2 linked regions of the Alligator mississippiensis genome follow. The protein of the gene in region 2 interacts with the protein of the main gene of each other region in a pairwise test. Links are inferred from orthologs where the notes say so. Each region holds a gene or a part of one and is shown on either strand. Other genes may lie near its edges. The genes, in order: GRB7 and KCTD6.

The links.
Region 1: the proteins of KCTD6 (region 2) and GRB7 interact in binary tests that used the Homo sapiens proteins (3 or more experiments, as listed by UniProt). The two-hybrid records come from large-scale screens. The link is inferred for Alligator mississippiensis from reciprocal best matches to the Homo sapiens genes KCTD6 and GRB7.

What each region holds. Positions count from the first base shown.
Region 1 is NC_081827.1:165,263,125-165,271,971, forward strand, and holds the start of GRB7 (growth factor receptor-bound protein 7), read right to left. Parts: upstream 3,148-8,847; 5' UTR 3,083-3,147; coding exon 3,053-3,082; intron 2,431-3,052; coding exon 2,340-2,430; intron 1-2,339. UniProt on the Homo sapiens protein: Adapter protein that interacts with the cytoplasmic domain of numerous receptor kinases and modulates down-stream signaling. Promotes activation of down-stream protein kinases, including STAT3, AKT1, MAPK1 and/or MAPK3. Promotes activation of HRAS.
Region 2 is NC_081835.1:890,335-898,914, forward strand, and holds the start of KCTD6 (BTB/POZ domain-containing protein KCTD6), read left to right. Parts: upstream 1-5,427; 5' UTR 5,428-5,506; intron 5,507-5,515; exon of another isoform or gene 5,516-5,637; intron 5,638-5,670; exon of another isoform or gene 5,671-6,244; intron 6,245-7,721; 5' UTR 7,722-7,800; coding exon 7,801-7,827; intron 7,828-8,580. Other genes in the region: PDHB (pyruvate dehydrogenase E1 component subunit beta, mitochondrial), read right to left, coding at 994-1,139, 1,621-1,762, 2,519-2,610, 3,305-3,415, 4,290-4,575, 4,761-4,796, 4,882-4,944, 5,030-5,137 and 1 more. UniProt on the Homo sapiens protein: Probable substrate-specific adapter of a BCR (BTB-CUL3-RBX1) E3 ubiquitin-protein ligase complex mediating the ubiquitination and subsequent proteasomal degradation of target proteins.

The sequences.
Region 1 (8,847 bases), on a different chromosome or scaffold from region 2:
GGAGGCAGTGCAGCTGTGGCTACGAAGCCTGCAGTGAGTGTTGGGCCTTTTTCCTCTCCATGAACAGCCTCTTCTCCCCTGTATCCATGTGTTGCAATTACACAGGCTGCTGGCTGAGGGGCAGCATTCCAGCTCCATTGCACTCCCACTGTGCCTTCAGAGAGAGGTCCCCAGTGGTAGAAGCTGGACTTCCCTGTGCAAGACCCCTATCTAGGGGCTAGCAGGGGGTGCCTGAAGCCCTCCGGGCCCCATCAGAGCCAGGCTTGCAACATGCAATGTTTAATCAGAACGCTTCCCGACGGCACCGCACAGTGAGTTGATTTGATTCTCCATCCCCAACTCCCATTAGTTCTCCTTCCCTGTGCAACACAGCTAGCTGGACAAAATGCTCCAGGTTGGAGACAAGGAAGCCTGAGAGAGGACTCAGTGCAGCTCTGGGATGCAGGAAATGGCTGGGGAGACTAAGCTGGGACACAGCTATGGTGGGAGCCCTGGGAAAAACCTGGGAGAGACTCTGGAATCAATAACAGGGGTGGATGGGGAGCAATGGATAGATATTATTATTAGGCCCATAAAAGACTCCATGGGTCCCTGTGAGTTCTGGCCCCAGGTACCCTCGTCCCCTCCCTCTCCCCCTCAGAGCATGGACTGCCACTGAGGGATGGTGTTTGGCACCCTCTGGAGAAATCACTTAGCAACAGTCAGCATGTGTCCAGCTGGGAGTGGAGCAACCCCTCCTCACAGCCCTGGGATCTGGTCACGAGGGCCAGGGCCAGGTGCCAGCCACAGGGGCAGCTTCCAGCACATGCCAGGAGAGCTCAGCCCTGGGGACAGGGCCTGGGGCTGGGGCTGGGGCTGGGGAGGAGAAGGGCCCTTGTGGAGGAGGCCACAAGGAGAGGAGAAGGGCCTGTGTGGACCCCATGTGCTGCTGCAGGTGGTAGTGTCATGAGGGGAAACCTCTTCCCAAAGCCCAATGAGATCCTGCTTGGAGCTGGGATGGGCAAGGATTATCAACCTCCCACCCTAGAGGGAAAAGCACCCAGCTGGTCTACTGGTCCTTGTGTGAGGGTGGATGTCCCTCAGCCTGAAGCAGTCACTGCTGGAATGCCCCATTTTCCTGTTGTTATAAACCCCTCCTAACCCCACTGGTGCCATTCTCTGCTAAGTGTCCAGCCCCAGGGAGGGAGAGGAAGACAGCTCCCCAGCCAGGGGCTGGATCCAGCTGTGTCCCACCCGTGGTTGGGTGGCATAAGGAGGGGCAGGAGACACAGCCCTGCTATATTTAAACCTAGCCCCGGGGAATGGGCCAGAGGGGATGTGGCCTGTGAAGATTGCTTCTTCACTGTCAGTTCCCTTTCTGGCTGGTCAGACCCATCTGGGGCTCTCACTGGTAGCCTGGGTGTGATGAGTTTGGCAAGTCTCATTCCAGATCTCAGCACCCAAGGCCCAGATTTCCAAAGAGATTTAGGCATCAAACTCCCACTGACATCTGATGAAAATGATGGGAGTAGTGTACTTTGGGACCCTCAGAGGACCTGAGCCAAGGGGCCATGTACAAAAGCCCCCCCCCCCGCTGACAGCATCATGCCCCCTTGCAGACAAGTATCAGTCCCCACCCGTGACCACTTAGAAGGTCCCTCCATAGCAGGACAGAGCCACAGTGATGGTTGGGGGTGGTCACTCTGCTGCTGTCAGTCACACTCTCACCAGGGGCAAGAGGCTTTGGGGTTCCCTTCCCCCCACCCCAGCTCAGCCCCTGCACAGTAGGCCCATGGATCATGAACCCCCTGCCATGTATCTCCCCTAAAGGGTACTGTCATGCCAGGTATCACACCAGTCCCGGTCCTGCCATAAGGAGCTAGCAAAAGGCAGATGGGGAAATTGAAGCCCAAAAAGGGGTTGTGATTTTCCTTGAGGCAGTACCAGACCCAGTACCAGCTTCTGGCTCCCAGTCCAGGTACCTCTGCACTGGACCACATGCTGCCCCTTCCTGAGCACATAAGGAGCCAGTGGTAGGCACAACTGGTTGCCTGCAGTGGGCACAAGGGTGGCAGACACTCCCCATAAAGTCTGTCCGGGGACAGAAGCCTGTGAGCCTGGGGCAGGGCTGTCACACCAAGTCTGGGTACTGAAGTGGGTGGGCCTGAACTTGTACCCAGAGCCCCCACCCTGAGGTCCACCCCCAGCTCTGCCACCATGAAACCTCATCAGCTTAGCCCTGCCTCTTTCTGTGCCTCAGTTCCCCCATGTGTGGGGCTGAGGGGGCTGTATCCCCACAGATCTCTCTTCCCTGGTGAGGGTCCATGACACAGAGGTGGGGATGTGAGCAAGCTTCTTACCTTTGCCCTGGTTCTGGGCGGTGAGGCGGTGAGGTCTCCCATGGATCCACTCCCGAAGTCTGCGCCCAGAGGTCCCCAACTCTGTGTTCTCCTGCAGCAGGTGACAGGAGGGAGGAGTTAGTCCCACTTCCCCCCTGGAGGCTGGGAGACCCCCATTCCACCAGTGGGGAGAAACCCCTGAGTAGGGACAACAGCAACACAAGCTCCCCCAGCCCTGGGTCCAGGGCAGCTCAGGCTCGGCTCCCCCTTCATCTTGCTGCCAGCCACAGGAATAGCTAGTACGCCAGCTGCAAAGGTGCTGTGGGAACCATGCAAGACCCCTCCCTCCCCACCTCAACACACATCAAGCCATCCACTGGGGCTGTCCATGCAGATGCTCACACAGCGCCCACCATCGTGGCATCCAGGCACGTGTTCTCACCATAGTCACTGCACTGCAGTCCCCAAGACCCTTATAGCAAAAGCACCTGGATCTCACTCACACACACACCCCCCCCCCCTCAGTGTTGGCCACAACACTCCCCTCCTTGCCCCTTACATGGCCAGTCCTGACACCAGGATTTCCCCTACCAGGTTCTAGGGAGGATTCCTGATCCCCACCTCCCCCACCACACACACACTTCCACAAGAAGAAAGAGTAATAAAGGGTGAGAGGAACAAGGCTCCCCCATCCCCCAGCATCTTCAGGGCATAGAGTCCAGGAGCTGCCCTACCTCGCCCATGGCGCCCGTGGCTTCTTGCATCCCCTGTCTGCCTCTTCTAGTCTGTCCCCAGCAGTTATCACCATGTCTGTTCCAAACCACCAGCCCCAGCAGGGAGCCTTATCTGGGCTGTGGCTTTGCTGTAATTTCCCAGCTATAGCTCGCTGCTGCTGCTGGCTGCATGCAGGAGGGAATAGAGATGGCAGCACTGTGTAGGCACAGCAGGGCACCCCACAGGCTTGAGATAGGTTCCTGTTTCTGCAGGGCTCTGGAGAAGTGGGCAGTGCCTTTCTCAAGAGTGGCACACCACCTCCTCAATCCACCTGGGACCATACCTTGGCGCTCACAGTCACTGAATTCAGCCTTAAAACCAGCCAGTGATGACAACTGAGGAAACCTGAGGCATGGGCAAGGTAAGTGATGTGTCTTTGGTCATGCAGTGAATCAGTAGCAGAGCAGAAGAAGGAACTCAGGAGCCCTGCCAGCCAGACCTGTGCTCTCACCTTCTTATCAATGGTCACTGAACCCATGAATCCTGCCTTTTAATTGCCTGCTCTAGCCACTCAGTGATCCTGCCTCCCTGAGAAAGTATGAGGACCCAGTCAATAGGACTCTCCTCACCCCCAGTCACCTACTGTTACTAGATTAAACTCCATCCCCAACATGCCCATGCTAAGCAAACAAGAGCAGTAAGACCAGCCTTTGCTACATTGAGTTTTCAACAAGGGGTCAGTTCAACTCGCTGACATTCTCCTTCTGGCAAGCCTCCCCCTCTCCAGAATTGTTTTCCTGGCATATATCACAGGCTGGAGCTTCACCCTGAGAATTCATATGCTGCTTTTCTCCAAGAAGGACTGCAGAGTGCTAGGGAGATGGGGTGGAAAGTACTAGCAGATGCCACCCTGTGGCATGGGGAGAGGAGGTCCTGGCTAAGGTTGCATGTGCCAACCCCTCTGGATGATTGAAAGATACAAGTGATGTCAGGCTAGTACAGAGCAGGGGTTGTAAGCTTGTCCCCCCAAAATCCAAGTGCAGAGTGAGGGTCTGGGCCTTGGTACATCTGCCACAGATGGGTTGAGCTCACCTAGAGGAGGGTGTGGTGGGGATTTGAGCTTCTGATGCTGGAGGGTGACAATACAGAATGGTCCCCATGGAGGGAAGCCAGCTGTAGCCACTGCACCAGGCAGAGATGCAAGGTGCCTTCTCTACCAAGGACACAGCCCTCAACTCCCAGCAGAGCTGCATCTCAACGCATGCTGAAAGGGAAGAGTGGGTGTCATTCCCACAAGACAGGAAGGGACACAGGGCTCCTATGACTTGCCCAAAGGAAAGCAGGGATCCAGTGTCGAGAATAAGACCCAGGACTGGTGGAGTGATAAGGAATCCCCACAACATCTGGAGTGGGGAGGCCATCCCTGATGGATAGGAGCTGTGCCTCCACCCCGGCCCCTTTCCTTCCCACCATCCCACAGTGTGAAACAGTCCCAGCCTCACAGTTAACCCCACCTGGACTCTGAGAGCCCTGGGTTTCCCTGGGATCTTGTGTCTTGCCAGCCGAGCAGGAACAGTCAGCCCTGCCTGTTCCCAGCATCTAAAGGAAAGAAAAATCCTTCGTAGCTGTACAATTACAGCTTTGGCTAGACTGCCAGGGCCTCTGTGAGGCTGCCACCTCCCTTCCTGCACAGCCTCACGCCCCAGCTTATATTATGTTTCTAAGAACATAAAGCTGCTTCCAGGAACCCTTTGGACAGCAGCAGCACTTCCAGGAGCCTGCCCAAGGCAGCCAGCCCTGAAATGCCTCTGCCATGACCCACCCAACTGCACGGGGAGCTGGTTTCCCGAGGGCTGGGAGCAGCCTGTGGCAGCAGGGAGCTTCTGGAAGGCAGACTGTGCTGCACGCTGTCTTCTCAGCCTCTCCATGCCCCCGTGCCACCTGTGGGGAACACAACCCCATATGTACCAGCAACTCCACCCAGGCAGAGTGCAGCATTCCTCTCCTTACCAGAAACCTCCTAAGCAGGCCTGGCATTCGTGGGAGGGTCTGTGGGCTTCCCTCATGCCCAGGCTGTGGGCCAGCCATAGCCCTCCTACACTACTGACTCAGAGGGGCCTGGCTGTGGGAACAGCCTGCTGGGGGGATGGGGCTGGCATAGTGAATGTGGGCTTGGTGGCAGTAGCCTGGATGGTGCTGCACGTGGGACCTGGGTGTGGAAGAAGGTCTCTTCTTGTAGCTCAAGGGGTGTGCAGGATAGGTCAGAGGCCATGGAGTGAGGCACAGGGGAGGTAGGTAGCATCAGCCTGATACAGCCGTGCAGTCACCTGGCAGTGAGGGGTGACTGCCTGGGCTGCCAGCCTCAGGCCAGCCACTGACCAGCTGCATAATCCTAAAGTGCTGGGTGCAGCTGTCCATCTTGGCTCCCACGCACCAATTAGGAGCCATGCTGACCAAGATCAATAAATCAGCAGCAGTGGGAGGCATCAGGGGCCCCTCTCTCCCTCACCTTGAGCCATGCCAAGTTGGAGCACAGCCCTGCCAGAGTCTTACTGCCTTCAGCTCCAGCCTGGCCTTTCCTCTGCCCTGCTGTCATGGCCCTTCTTGGCCCTGTGCAGAACTGCTGCCCCGCAGTGTCCCCTCGAAGCAGGAAAGTCCCAGTCCTGAACTCTGGCAAAGTCCCTCCCTGCCCAATTCAGAACCACTGGCAGTCCCCTTCTCGCCCTCTCCCACTCCAACTCCTGCAGAGCCAGGCTAAAGTGAAGTGGACACTCCAGCTTGGAGCCCCGGTGTCAGTGTACCCCATAGCAGCCAAGCCTGTCTCCTCTGCCCCCTGCACACAGCTGGTGAGCATGACAGTCCACCTGCCCTTGTCTGCTTGCATCCACACACGTACGCACACATGCACAGGGACAATGTGAAGAAGCAGCCACACCTGCCCAAAATCTGTCCTGAGCAGGCAGAGGAGAAAGGCCAAGGGAAACCGTTCTTCCCATGGGAACCAGCTTGGTCTTCCTAATGAATTATTTCTAATGAGGCTGACCCATGCACTGCTGTAATGCACCACTGAGTGAGGCAGCTAGAGCTAGCAGCCCAGGACAGACCAGAACACAGGCCCTTCTCAGCAGTGCGAGAAGGAGCTGAGAAGAAGGGCTGGGGAGGAAGGCAAGGAGAAGGGCTGAGGTTGTGCCTGGCTCCCATAGGCCTGAGCCCTGTTGGCTTAGAAAGGAGCCCCTGGGGGCTGGGCAGCAGGTGCTACCCAAGCCCCCAGCAGTAGAAAGAGGAGGCAGGAGCCAAAGGAGCTTTGATTCAAAAAAGGGTGACAGCTCCTCATGTGCTGGGACCAAGGCCTGGTCCCTCTCACCAGCACCCCCTGGTGGCTGCTTGGCCATTCTCTGCACATACCCAGAGAGGTGGTACGTGGGTCACCTGTGCCACAGGAAGCACCTGTGCCATGAGGAGCCTGCTTCTGCTTGTGCAGGACTCAGGGGAAAGGGCACAGGCCAGGCAAATGTCAGGGCATGGGGACCTGTGGGTCCTAGGCTGTGGCTCAGCAGGCTCCTCCCTTTACCTTCTCTGGCTGGTAGATCTGTGGGGGCACACGTATCTACCCAGTCACATGCACATGCACAAGCCCGTCTCCCCCTGCCCCCTCAGATCCATGCCCATGTGCACTCAGAGTGCTTGCACACAACAGCATGCCTGGGCACCATCCTAAAGAAGGGGCCCTGGGTGCTGATGGGGCATGGTCCCCCTCCCCACTGGGCATCAGGCCATGCAGCTCCCCTGGCACTCATGCCACCCCTGGGGCGAAGGAATGGATGCATTACCTTGCAGCGGGAGGCTGTGCTGCGGCTCCTCTTCCGTTCAGGACACGTGGGTGATTTTCCCAGGGGGCCACGTTTCCGTAAGCAGGTGCAGCAAAACACTACCCCCACGGCCTTCTTCCAGGGAAAGCTCCGGCCCTCCTGCATGCCCTGATCCATGCCTGCCAGAGCCGGCCACTCAGAGTGGCCTCCACCGCTGAGCCCCTCGCTGTGCGCCCTCCCCCCCACACTGTTGCTGCCACTCTGAGGATAAATCCCAGGGTCCCCACCTCTGTTATGGCTTTGGCAGCAGCACCCCCTCCCCCGTCCCTCTTCCCTTCTTTAATTGGTGAGCGCCACCATTAACAAGGGCTGGTTACAGGGGCCCAAGCATTTACAGCCATCCCCACCGCCATCCGGCCAGCTTCAAGCCCCAGTTCTGAAATGACTCAGCTGGCAGCGCAGTGGGCAGCTCCCTCCCCGCCCCCTCTCCCCACCCTGGCCACGCTGCCTATACCCCTTGCAGCCCTGCTCACACACGTAGCAGCTGCCCTGGGAGCCCATGTATTTCACACTTGCATAAGATGACAGGGCTGGATGTTTCAAATAGTGACAAGTCCAGCTCTGTGAGGAGCAGGGCTGAGCCACCTCACCCCCGCCCCCCACATACATACCCCCCCACCTGGCTCACCCCCCAGGTTCCCCACCCAGTCCTGACCCACCTAGTGCTCTGAGTAAAGGGGGAGCCCACTTGCTGGGATCCCCGTGTGCTGGCATATAGAATGGCTCTTACCCCTGGACCCTGGGTGACGTCAGCTCCACCCAGTGCCAAGCCGTGTTCTGAGCTATTGCTGTCTGCCTGGGGAGGGAGGGAGCCAAGCAGGATGGAGGCACTCAGGTCTCCCTCGCTGGCAGGAAAACCTGCACCCAGCCATGGGTTGGAAGTGGCACATGGGCAGTAGAGGGCTCCACTCCCACCCCGATCTTCTCGGCCCCCTTGGGGTGGTGGGGAAGATGCCACTGAGGACTCAAGCAGGTGGGAAGTGGGGCTTCCAAGCAATCCAATGGTCTGATTGTTCCCTCCCATCCCAGCCAGCACCGAGAGGCCTCCTGGAAATTAAAACTGACAGCTGAAAGGTACTGCCAGAGAGCTCCCAGGGCATTGTGCAGCAGGGAAAGGGTTAATGGTGCCCCAATTTCCCAACCTGCTGGTGACAAACTTTTAACAAGGGGAGCTTGGCTTCCCTTCAAGCTGTTCCCTAGACCTCATCTGGGGGCTGAGTAGTGCTTTCTTTTATATCCAGGGCAGCTGCATTCCAGTCAGATCCTCCCCAACCCTGCCCTGCCCCTCCTTTTTGGGGGAAATGAGCCCTCCCCTCCCACCATCACAGCAGCCCTTTAAGGAAATAGTGGTGACCTGGCGGATTCTCAACTGCTTTGATGGGGCAAAGCCTGAGAAAGCCTGAAGTCCTTGCTTTGGCACGAGATATACCAACCCATAGTGCTGAACCCTGGCTACGATCCATTCATGGTCCAGCCCATTGGGGTCTCATGATGGGCTGGTCTCACCCTGGCAGTCACAAGCAAGGATGAAATGCCAAGGAAGCTCATAGCACAGCTCATCCCTTTGCCAGGACCCAGCCTGCCCTTCCTTGCCAGCGCTCTCTGCACCAGTGCGGCAGGGCAGGTGGACCCCACTAGGGAGCAGTTATGGGGGTGAGGGCCAGGCCTATGTATCCCATCGTATCATTTTGGGAGGGGAGTGCTGCTGCCCCCTGGCGGCATGTCTGAGAATGGCCATGGTTTTTGCAGAGGTGTAAATGACTATGCCAGGCTATGGGACAACAGAAACCAGGGCCCAGCCTCACTAGATGTGATAGGGATCCTTGTGGGACCTTCAGACCCCAGAAGTGTTCACCTGCAGTCTGAAGGGTTCAGGGGCTGGGACATGTCTTTCACCCATCCAGCTGCCACCTAGGCTGTTAAGGGCCAGCAGGTGGCCAGCCAGT
Region 2 (8,580 bases):
ACACGTATCTACTATGTAAGCTTTACAGGGCTCCTACCTGGGTTTTATTCTTTTAACTACACTATAGAAAGCCTTTAGAACTAAGCCAAACAGTTAACAGCGTGGAGGAAAATCTTCCTCGGGCTACTGTTTTACCATACCAGGTACTTCAGCTGATCTGAAACTGAACTGAGTGAAGGGGGTCAGGGGACTAGAAGCCGAGAACAGCTTGATTAGGCAATCCTGGAGAGACTGTAGGTGGAAGGACTGAAATAATTGATTTACTAGGTAGAAGCTTTTTTGGGGGCTCCTTGCTGAAATTACTTGTCAACCTCAACTGGAGCTTTTGCAGCTCTAGAGCCTCAAAGCGTGAACAGAAAGTCCAGAAGTGCAAGCCCAGCACGCATACTTTCTGTGGTAATGGCTCCATCACCACACCTATTTCTAGAAATATGCACCCTAGTCTTACAGCTCTAATTAAGTAGCAGGTGCAAAAAAGGCCCGTGCAAGTGCAGACTGATGTCTGAGTTGTGATAAAAGGCAGCTGTAGAGCCAGTCTAAACCTGCAGCGTCCAGCTCCACTGCCCTGTAGCAGCCCTTAGGCAGTTCTTTCATTTTCAAACCACTCATTTGACCCGTTGTAAGTAGTAGACAGACAGCACGGCTGGGTAGTCGTTTATTTCTCATACTAAATTAAGACCATTTAGAATGAGACTCTTTCTCTGACAGCAATAGAACAGTCCGTTCACTGGTACCGTCAACTCTCAGAGAGGGTACAGATTCAAACTTACAGCATGAGACTGGCACAAACATAGCTATATACTTCCCCACAGAGCTGCTTAGAGTTGAAGGGTGACTGAAAGGCTGGCTTATTACACAATTAGCCATATAAATAATTTTTAAAGTGTTATTTAACCTTTTCTTTCTGTACAGAAAGGTTCATGAAGCTATACAAGGCAGTACACTCCATATGTTTTAAACTAAGACATTTTAGAAGAACATGTTTGTAACAGTCTAGATATTTAGTGTTTTCTTCACTGCAAAGATGATATCCTTCACTTGAGGTATGCAGTTCTCTTCCAAGATCTTTGCATAAGGCATAGGAACGTCGGCCCCTGTGACACGCACAGCTGGAGCATCCAAGTAATTGAAGGCAGGTCCTGGAACAAAGAAAGGCATCTTAAGCCATGCAGAGCTAGCTGTTGTTCCTTGATGTACCTGCAGTTTGACAAAATTGGCCTGTTCTGGGTATTTGGGGTCTTACAGAACTGCACTGCAAACCCACCCCTGCAGCTTTCCTTGGTTAACTGAAACCAGATTTTTTGCTGTTTGGTCCCTTCATTCAGCACACATTTAAGAGGGAATGCTCGAGCAAAGTGATCCAGTGGCCCTTACGTGCTCAGCTTCCCAGGAGCTGCTTGAAGCTCCATGCCTCAGAGAGGTGATAAGTGTGGTAGAACAAGGGACTGGGGCTGTTACTTCAGAAGTTAACACACTTTTCTGACTTAGCATCTACTGTGTCAGCAAAACAGGCTTTGTACTTTCCTCTCGTACTTGCCAGGCTTGGCTGGAAGGCAATAGATTAGAGGCCAGCGACACAGTACAGATACATACAAGTTACAGGAGCTGAGCAAAAGATACCTTCCATGATTCTGGCACATATTTCGGCTCCTACTCCAAACTGTGGCCAACCTCCTTCCACTGTTACAAGGTTATTTGTCTTCATAATGCTGGCTTCTATAGTTTCAACATCCATTGGGCGAATGGTGCGGAGATTTATCACCTGGAAGAGAGAGTGGCAAGCGATTTGGTACTAGGTTCTTTAAGCCTAGCCCCCTCCCTTGCTTACTGGAGCAGAGTCTTTCACTTCATGAGTACTTTGTATTCTTGTTTTAGGCAGTCTTACTCTCCTCCCCCAGAACCAGGAGTGTCTCCTATGCCTTCTGCTCCGCTGTCTTTACCTCAGCTACCTCCACAGTTGTAGGATGCACTCCTCATCTCATCTCCAGAGGGGATGCCTCTACTGGCATCAACCCAGTAGTTACTTGTAGCCACACGATTTGTAGCAAACCGGCTTACCCTGGCTCAACTCACTGCCCTTGCTTTTATAGGGGAGTGCAAGGCTACTTGCACACTTGCATGTTTCTCTATGAAGCTTCCCCGCACAGTAAACAAGACTCTTATGTTCCCCTTGCTTGCTGTCTGTGGGTAACTAAGTGTGCCCACACAAGCAATATATCCATTTAGCTTTGGAGCCAGTGCCAAAGGCTCAGCAGATAAAATAATTAAGGGCTCAAATGTATTGAACACAAATTTTAAGCTATGAATTTAGTGTCTGCATCAGTAAAACAGTGTGGAATCCTACCAAGTGTGACAGTGTTTTGCAATCTCAAATGCAAACTTCCACCTTGCTGGCAAAGCACAAGCATGGCTGAATCCCTCTTTAGCTCAGGAATCAAAGCAGTTGAGAATGAATCCAATTTAAACGAAAGATGTTTTTCATCCTGGCCTGAAATACCACTGAGTGAGTGGGACATACCTCACACTCCACCCCTTCTTTGGCAAGGACAGCAGCTGCTTCCAGACAGTGTCCAACAGGCCTCGAGTGCGACACTAACGTAACGTGCTTTCCTGAAACACAGAAGCTGGTGGTGGATCAAGACAGATCTTCCTGTCAAGCAGCTCAACACTAAACATCTCTGAAAAGTTAAGTGTAAGACCTCACCTTTTTGACCTAGCTAAAGTCTAGCGTACTCAGCATCTGACTTGCATGTCAGGACTAGCCTGAGAAGTCTGTTACTGGAACTCTTCCTGAGTTCGACTACTTAAGAGCATCGTTCTTGTGCTCTGTGTATTGGCAGAATGGATGGGATCAACTTGCTATGCCACGAATAACAAGTTGCTTGCATGCTTCTACAGCGAAGTTATACACAACTGACAAGAGGTTTGAAATGCTGCACATTAGTGACCTTTCTTGATATGCTGAGCAAAGAATCTAAGCTCTGGTTGTGGGTGTTGTTTTCTTTTCACTCGTTTCAGACAGTCCAACTGCACCAGGCCTAGCTGGCCACTAGAAAGTGTTTTAATTGTGGGTCAAGATGGCCCTGCCCTAAATTACTTTGTCTGTGAGTAATAAGTGCTAAAAACAAATAGCTGGTAAAATCCAAATGACCAGAAGTCTTAGTAGTGTCCTTCTGAATAGTTCCCTGTTTTGCAAGAAGGAAGTACTTTATAAAGGAAAGCACTTAATGAGTTCAATTGGTCTAGCAAGGAAAGAGAACTTTTACAAGTGAGAATATACAGAATAGTGGTATTCTGAACTTACCCGGCCTCTCTATTTTGGCTTTGCCAATAGGAACCAAGAAGTCCTTTGATTGCGTTTCCTCCGACATCTCAAAGGGAACTCCATACATCAGTTCATGTTCCAGCATCACAACTAAAGATCATTAGAGTGGTCACTTGGGTTAGTCTGGAGGTCCCCCAATCCAGGTGCCACACAACATTTTCCAAGACTGTCAGGGCCCACGATGGTGGACTCCTCCTCTCGGCTCAATTACAGGAGGACAAGCATAACGCAGCAGCACGCTTAGACAAGCCCAGAGGACTCGAAGCTTCACTTAAGTAGCTATTAACTTGTAGCACTGCACAATTTTGAAATGGCTTCTTTGACTGATCCCACAGCCAGAGGGTGATTTCACACTAAGCATTTGGAGATGCAACATTTGGGGGGTAATCAGAAACCCAGAACTTGCTCCCAGACGGCTTCCACATCTGTTCCACAGACACGCAAGTGACGGCTACAGGACTGGGTCTAAAGGGCCAGGGCTATGCTTGTCATCCTTTTCCTAGGACAGCAGTGCACAAGCTGACCGTCGGGGGGGTGCCCATATTCTAGTTCAGCGTTTCCCAACCAGTGCCGCAGCGTGCTGGGATGGAGCCAAGCCCCTGCCTGCTGCTGCTGTGGGTGGACACAGACAGACGAGGAGCATGACTCCAGCCCAAAACGCTGCTGGGCCGGCCGTGCGCCACCCCGCTGTCAGCATCCGGCTGGCCACACGCCACCCCCTGCGCCGTGGTGCTTCTTTATTGGGAAATGCCAGGGGGAGGAAAAGGTTGGGAAATGCTGTTCTAGTTTAACTTTGGTTTTGAAGAAGAGGTCGCGGTCAGGAGAAAAGGTCTCCAGGATTACCTTCACGATTTGAGTCCCACGCTTTAAGCGCGTTCTTCGCGGGGTCAAGGTGGAGAAGGGAAGCGGAGGGCGCGCCGAGACTAGTTATTCGAGTACAGCGGGACTTCCTGCTGGTAATTACCTGGATTGTCGTCCCGGATGGCCGACTTGAGCAGACCTCTCGCGTCTTCGGAGCTCCATGGGCTGACCACCTTCAGCCCAGGGCAGTGCCCGTACCAGGCGGCGAAGCACTGCGAGTGCTGCGCGCCGACACCGGCCGAGGTGCCGTTGGGGCCCCTGAACACCACCGGGACCGAGACCATGCCGGAAGACATGTAATAGGTCTTGGCAGCGGAGTTGATCACCTGGTCGATGGCTTGCATGGAGAAGTTGAAGGTCATGAATTCGCAAATTGGCCTCAGCCCAGCCTGTTAAACAAGGACACGGGCCAGTCACGAAGCCTCGTCCGGCCTCCTGGCGCCCCCCGTGCCCTGGGGGGGTTAACCCCGCTCCCCCTTCCCGCGGGGCTGCGGCGCACGGAGCGGGCGGTGCGCCCCCCCCCACGCCGGCCCGTTTCCGAACCGGCTCCTTGTGCGCAGCGCTGGGCACCCACCATGGCGGCTCCCACGGCGATGCCGGTGAAGCCCATCTGCAAGGGAGGGAAGGCAGAGGGGTGAGCGCGGGGCAGGGGTAGGGGCAGGGGGGCGTGGGGGGGCGGGGCGGGGCGGGGGTACCTCGGAGATGGGGGTGTCGATGATGCGCTTGTCGCCGTACTTCTTCCACAGGCCGCGGCTGATCTGCGGGCGCAGGCAGAGCGTGAGGCGGGCCCGCGGCCCCCCGCCCCCCCGCCCGCCCGGCCCGGCCCGGCCCGGCCCCGCTCACCTTGTAGGCGCCGTCGTACTGCGCCACCTCCTCGCCCAGCAGGAAGACGCGCTCGTCGCGCTCCAGCTCCTCGTCCAGCGCCTGGTTCAGCGCGTCGCGGACCGTCACCTGCGGCGCACAGCGCGCTCACGCCGGGCCCGCCGGCCGGCTCCCCCCGGCCCCGGCCCCGGCCCCGGCCCGGTACCTGCACGGCGGCGGGCGCCGAGGCGCGGATCCCCCGGCGCAGCGGGCCCGGCAAGCGGTGCAACCCGGCCCGCGCCAGCCCCCTCAGTGCCGCCGCCATCTTGGATGTGCCCTCCAGCGGCAGGGCGTGGCGTCACGCCCGCACCGCCCAATGGGCGCCCGGCCCCGCCCCCTCGCTGCCTGGCAACGGGGCGCCGCGGCGGCGTCTCGCGAGAAGCGGCGGCGGTGGCGTGCTACGTCACATCCGCTCTGGGTCGGGACGGTACGCGGCGAGGGACATAGTGCAGCGGCGCGGTGAGTGCGGCCCCGCGCCCGCCTGAGGGGAGTGGCCCTGCCCCGCGCCCCTCGCCCGCTGTCATCCCCTCAGTCTTCCCTTCTGCAGCCTCCACGAGCCCATTCCCCGCCCGCCGTGACGGGATGAAGAGGTAGCGGGCGGGCGGGCGTTCGGTGGCGCTCGCGCCGGCGGTTAGGATTTTGCCCCGAGCGGATGCGCGTGCTCCTTAGCTCGCGGGGCCGCCGAAGGGTGTTCCTGCCCAAGACAGTTTTATTTATTTTTATTTTTTTGCAAAACCCTCGTGGGTCGGATGAAAGAGGTCACCCCTACACGGGCGGCCCCACGAGCCCGGCTAGCCGGGCAGAGGCTCCCAAACCGGCTTCCCCGCAGACTCCGACACAAAATCAATGACGCATCTAGATGCTTGCTTTATTTATTGATGTATTTATCAAAACACGGGCTTGCCTGAGCTAATTGCTCCTATAAATTATTTGCTCGGTGTTACGGTGGCGGCGCTGTCGCCCAAGGGTAGCTTCGGGCAGCAAGATGTATCTGCTCCGTTTTCTTTGTGATCGCCCAAGCGGTGCCGTGGCGGGATGGATCCGTCCCAGGGGCTTTGGAGATGGCCTCTCTCCTGTCACACAGATGTTTGTCAGAGAAAATCTTTTCAGTAGATGGGTGCAGACCTCTTTATGTTTCTTCCCTGTTTAGAGTTGGTGCCATTGAGCATTTATTGAGACGTCATTGATTATACGCGTGTAAGTCGCACTGTTTTCCCAGGTCTGCTTCCCCCTCCTCTCCTTACTGTGGGGACTTTGTCAGAGGCCCTCCTTGCCCTTTTCCTGAAGAAGTGCCGCGGCCTGATGCGAAGTGTCCTCTCGCACCTTGCGCTGGAACAGAGCAGTCCCTGTCTAAAGGAGAAACCCAGGGTCTGCGCCTCCAGGCTAACGCTAGCGGGGGGAGTAAGTTGCCGTTGAGCTGGGAAGCACAGAACAGCTCTGCAGGCTCGTTGCCCCGATGGCTGGTTCTTCTCGCCTGCGCGGAAGAGCCGACGCTCTGAGTTCGTATCTCTCCCTCGGTCGGCAGTCGTTTGTGCTGTGCTGAGGCAAGCCTCCCCTTTGCCTTGTCCAGCATGACTCATCCACGCTGCCGATATTGTGTTTAACTTATTTGCGTTTTAGTGCTTGGGAAAAGGTGTAGGGTTGGACACGGGATTCTCCTGTGGCTGGGGACATGCGATGCCTGCCTTGTGTATGCCTCTGCTCTCCACGTGCAGCTGGCCTTTGGGGAGAGCTCTCACGCTCTGCCGTTGCAGTCCAGACCTTCTCTGAGCAGAAAGCACTTCGCTCTTGCCATGCTCTTCTCAAGTGGGGACACGGGCCTGTGACGGCTACAGGAGAGCAGGCTGTTTGGGTCAGAAATTGAACGCTACTTCTGTAGTCACTGAGTGGTGCAGAGCTCTGCCTCGGCTCAAGCGCTGTGACTTTACTTGCTGGGTAACACGTGCCTGGGTTAATTTGTTTCCCAAAGCTCCCACAAGATCCTTTCTGTACCAAACTGTTTGTAAGTCCTAGAGTTTAAGCCAGAGGAGACCTCTGCTACTGCCTAGCCTGGTCTGCCACCAACCCAAGTCACAGCATTTCATCCATCCTTCCAGCAGTGGCAGGATGGCAGGCTTTAATGGGACCTTGCCCTGAAGGTGAATGTTCCTGACTACCTATAGGAAGTTTTCTTTTACTTCCCTCCTGCTCCCCCCAAGTGACTTCTGAGTTCCTGCTGCTGCTGAGATACAGAATTATTGACTCATAAAGCTAGCACACAGGTCTCCACATCTACTGAGATGGACCTTCAGACATGAGATGAATAAATCAAGCATTTGGCTTATGTAAATGGGGTTACTTTTTAAGATAGATGTCCCCCACTCAGATGAATTGTAGCTGGTGTGCGAGTATAAAACTTCAGAAATGCCATGCAGGCTATTTAACAAATCTGGAATACTGAGGACAGCTTGTGAAGGCACTGCTCTCTCTAGATAGGGCCTGTCTTCAGGCAATGGAAAGGATGCTGGAAGATCAGTATAGGGAAGTCCTCATTTGTGGGTGTTGCTGCTATGCTGCCTGAATAGGTGACAGCAAGACCCAGCCTGTCTTTGAGTAGAAGCACTTAAAGACCAGCAATGCTTATAATCTGACAGATCTCTCTATTTATTTGTTTTATCTATCTGTTTGTCTGCAGGGGGAATAGACGTGAATTGTATATCCCTTCAGCAACCTTCTGTTAAACTTGGACTCCCACAGATCAAGCAACAGAACAGATGGATAATGGAGACTGGGGATATATGGTAAGTGAGCCAGTACAGATGTGTGTGCATGCTGAGAGAGACTTGGGCTTTCCAGATTTTAATGTAAGGATCCCCTCCAGTCTCTTGGCTTTGTATAGACCCAGAGAAGAAACTATGGGAAGAAAAATCTTATTAAAAACAATTTACTTACATTGTCTTTAGGTGTTTCATTTCAGTATGGCTGTGGGGCCTTTCACGTTGTTAATCTCCAGACAGTGCAGGGATTACATAAAACAGTGGGGTCAGCCTTTTTGGCAGCTGTGCTACAAACTAGCCCCACTACTTCCCCAAGTGCCGCACTGATCCTGTTCCCTGGCCAGTCAGCTGCTCTGCTTTCTGTTCCCTTCCTTGTGCTCCCTGCCTGATCTGCTGCTTTGCTTTCTGCTTCCTGCCTGCCTCTCTGTCTGCCCTATCTGCCACACGCCACACATGGATGCTGCCCAGGCCACTCGGGGCACGTAGGCTGACTTAAGACAACACTTACAATTCTCTTAAAAAGATCGGGCCACAATGATGGGCTAGGAAGTGTTGGAAAGCAACCTCCTTGATGTACAGGGTCCTGGAAAAAGCAAAATCTTCCATGTTCCTTTACGTATTTTGATGCCATTTTATTTGGGGAAAAACTATTCTTGCCTCTTAAACTGCATTTCTGAAACTAGGCCAGACTCGCTCATCTTATTATTGCTCTTTCCTTTTTTCCTCTAAGCATTCTCCTCTCTTTGGATACATCTGGCAGGCCCTCAGCCCTGGCCA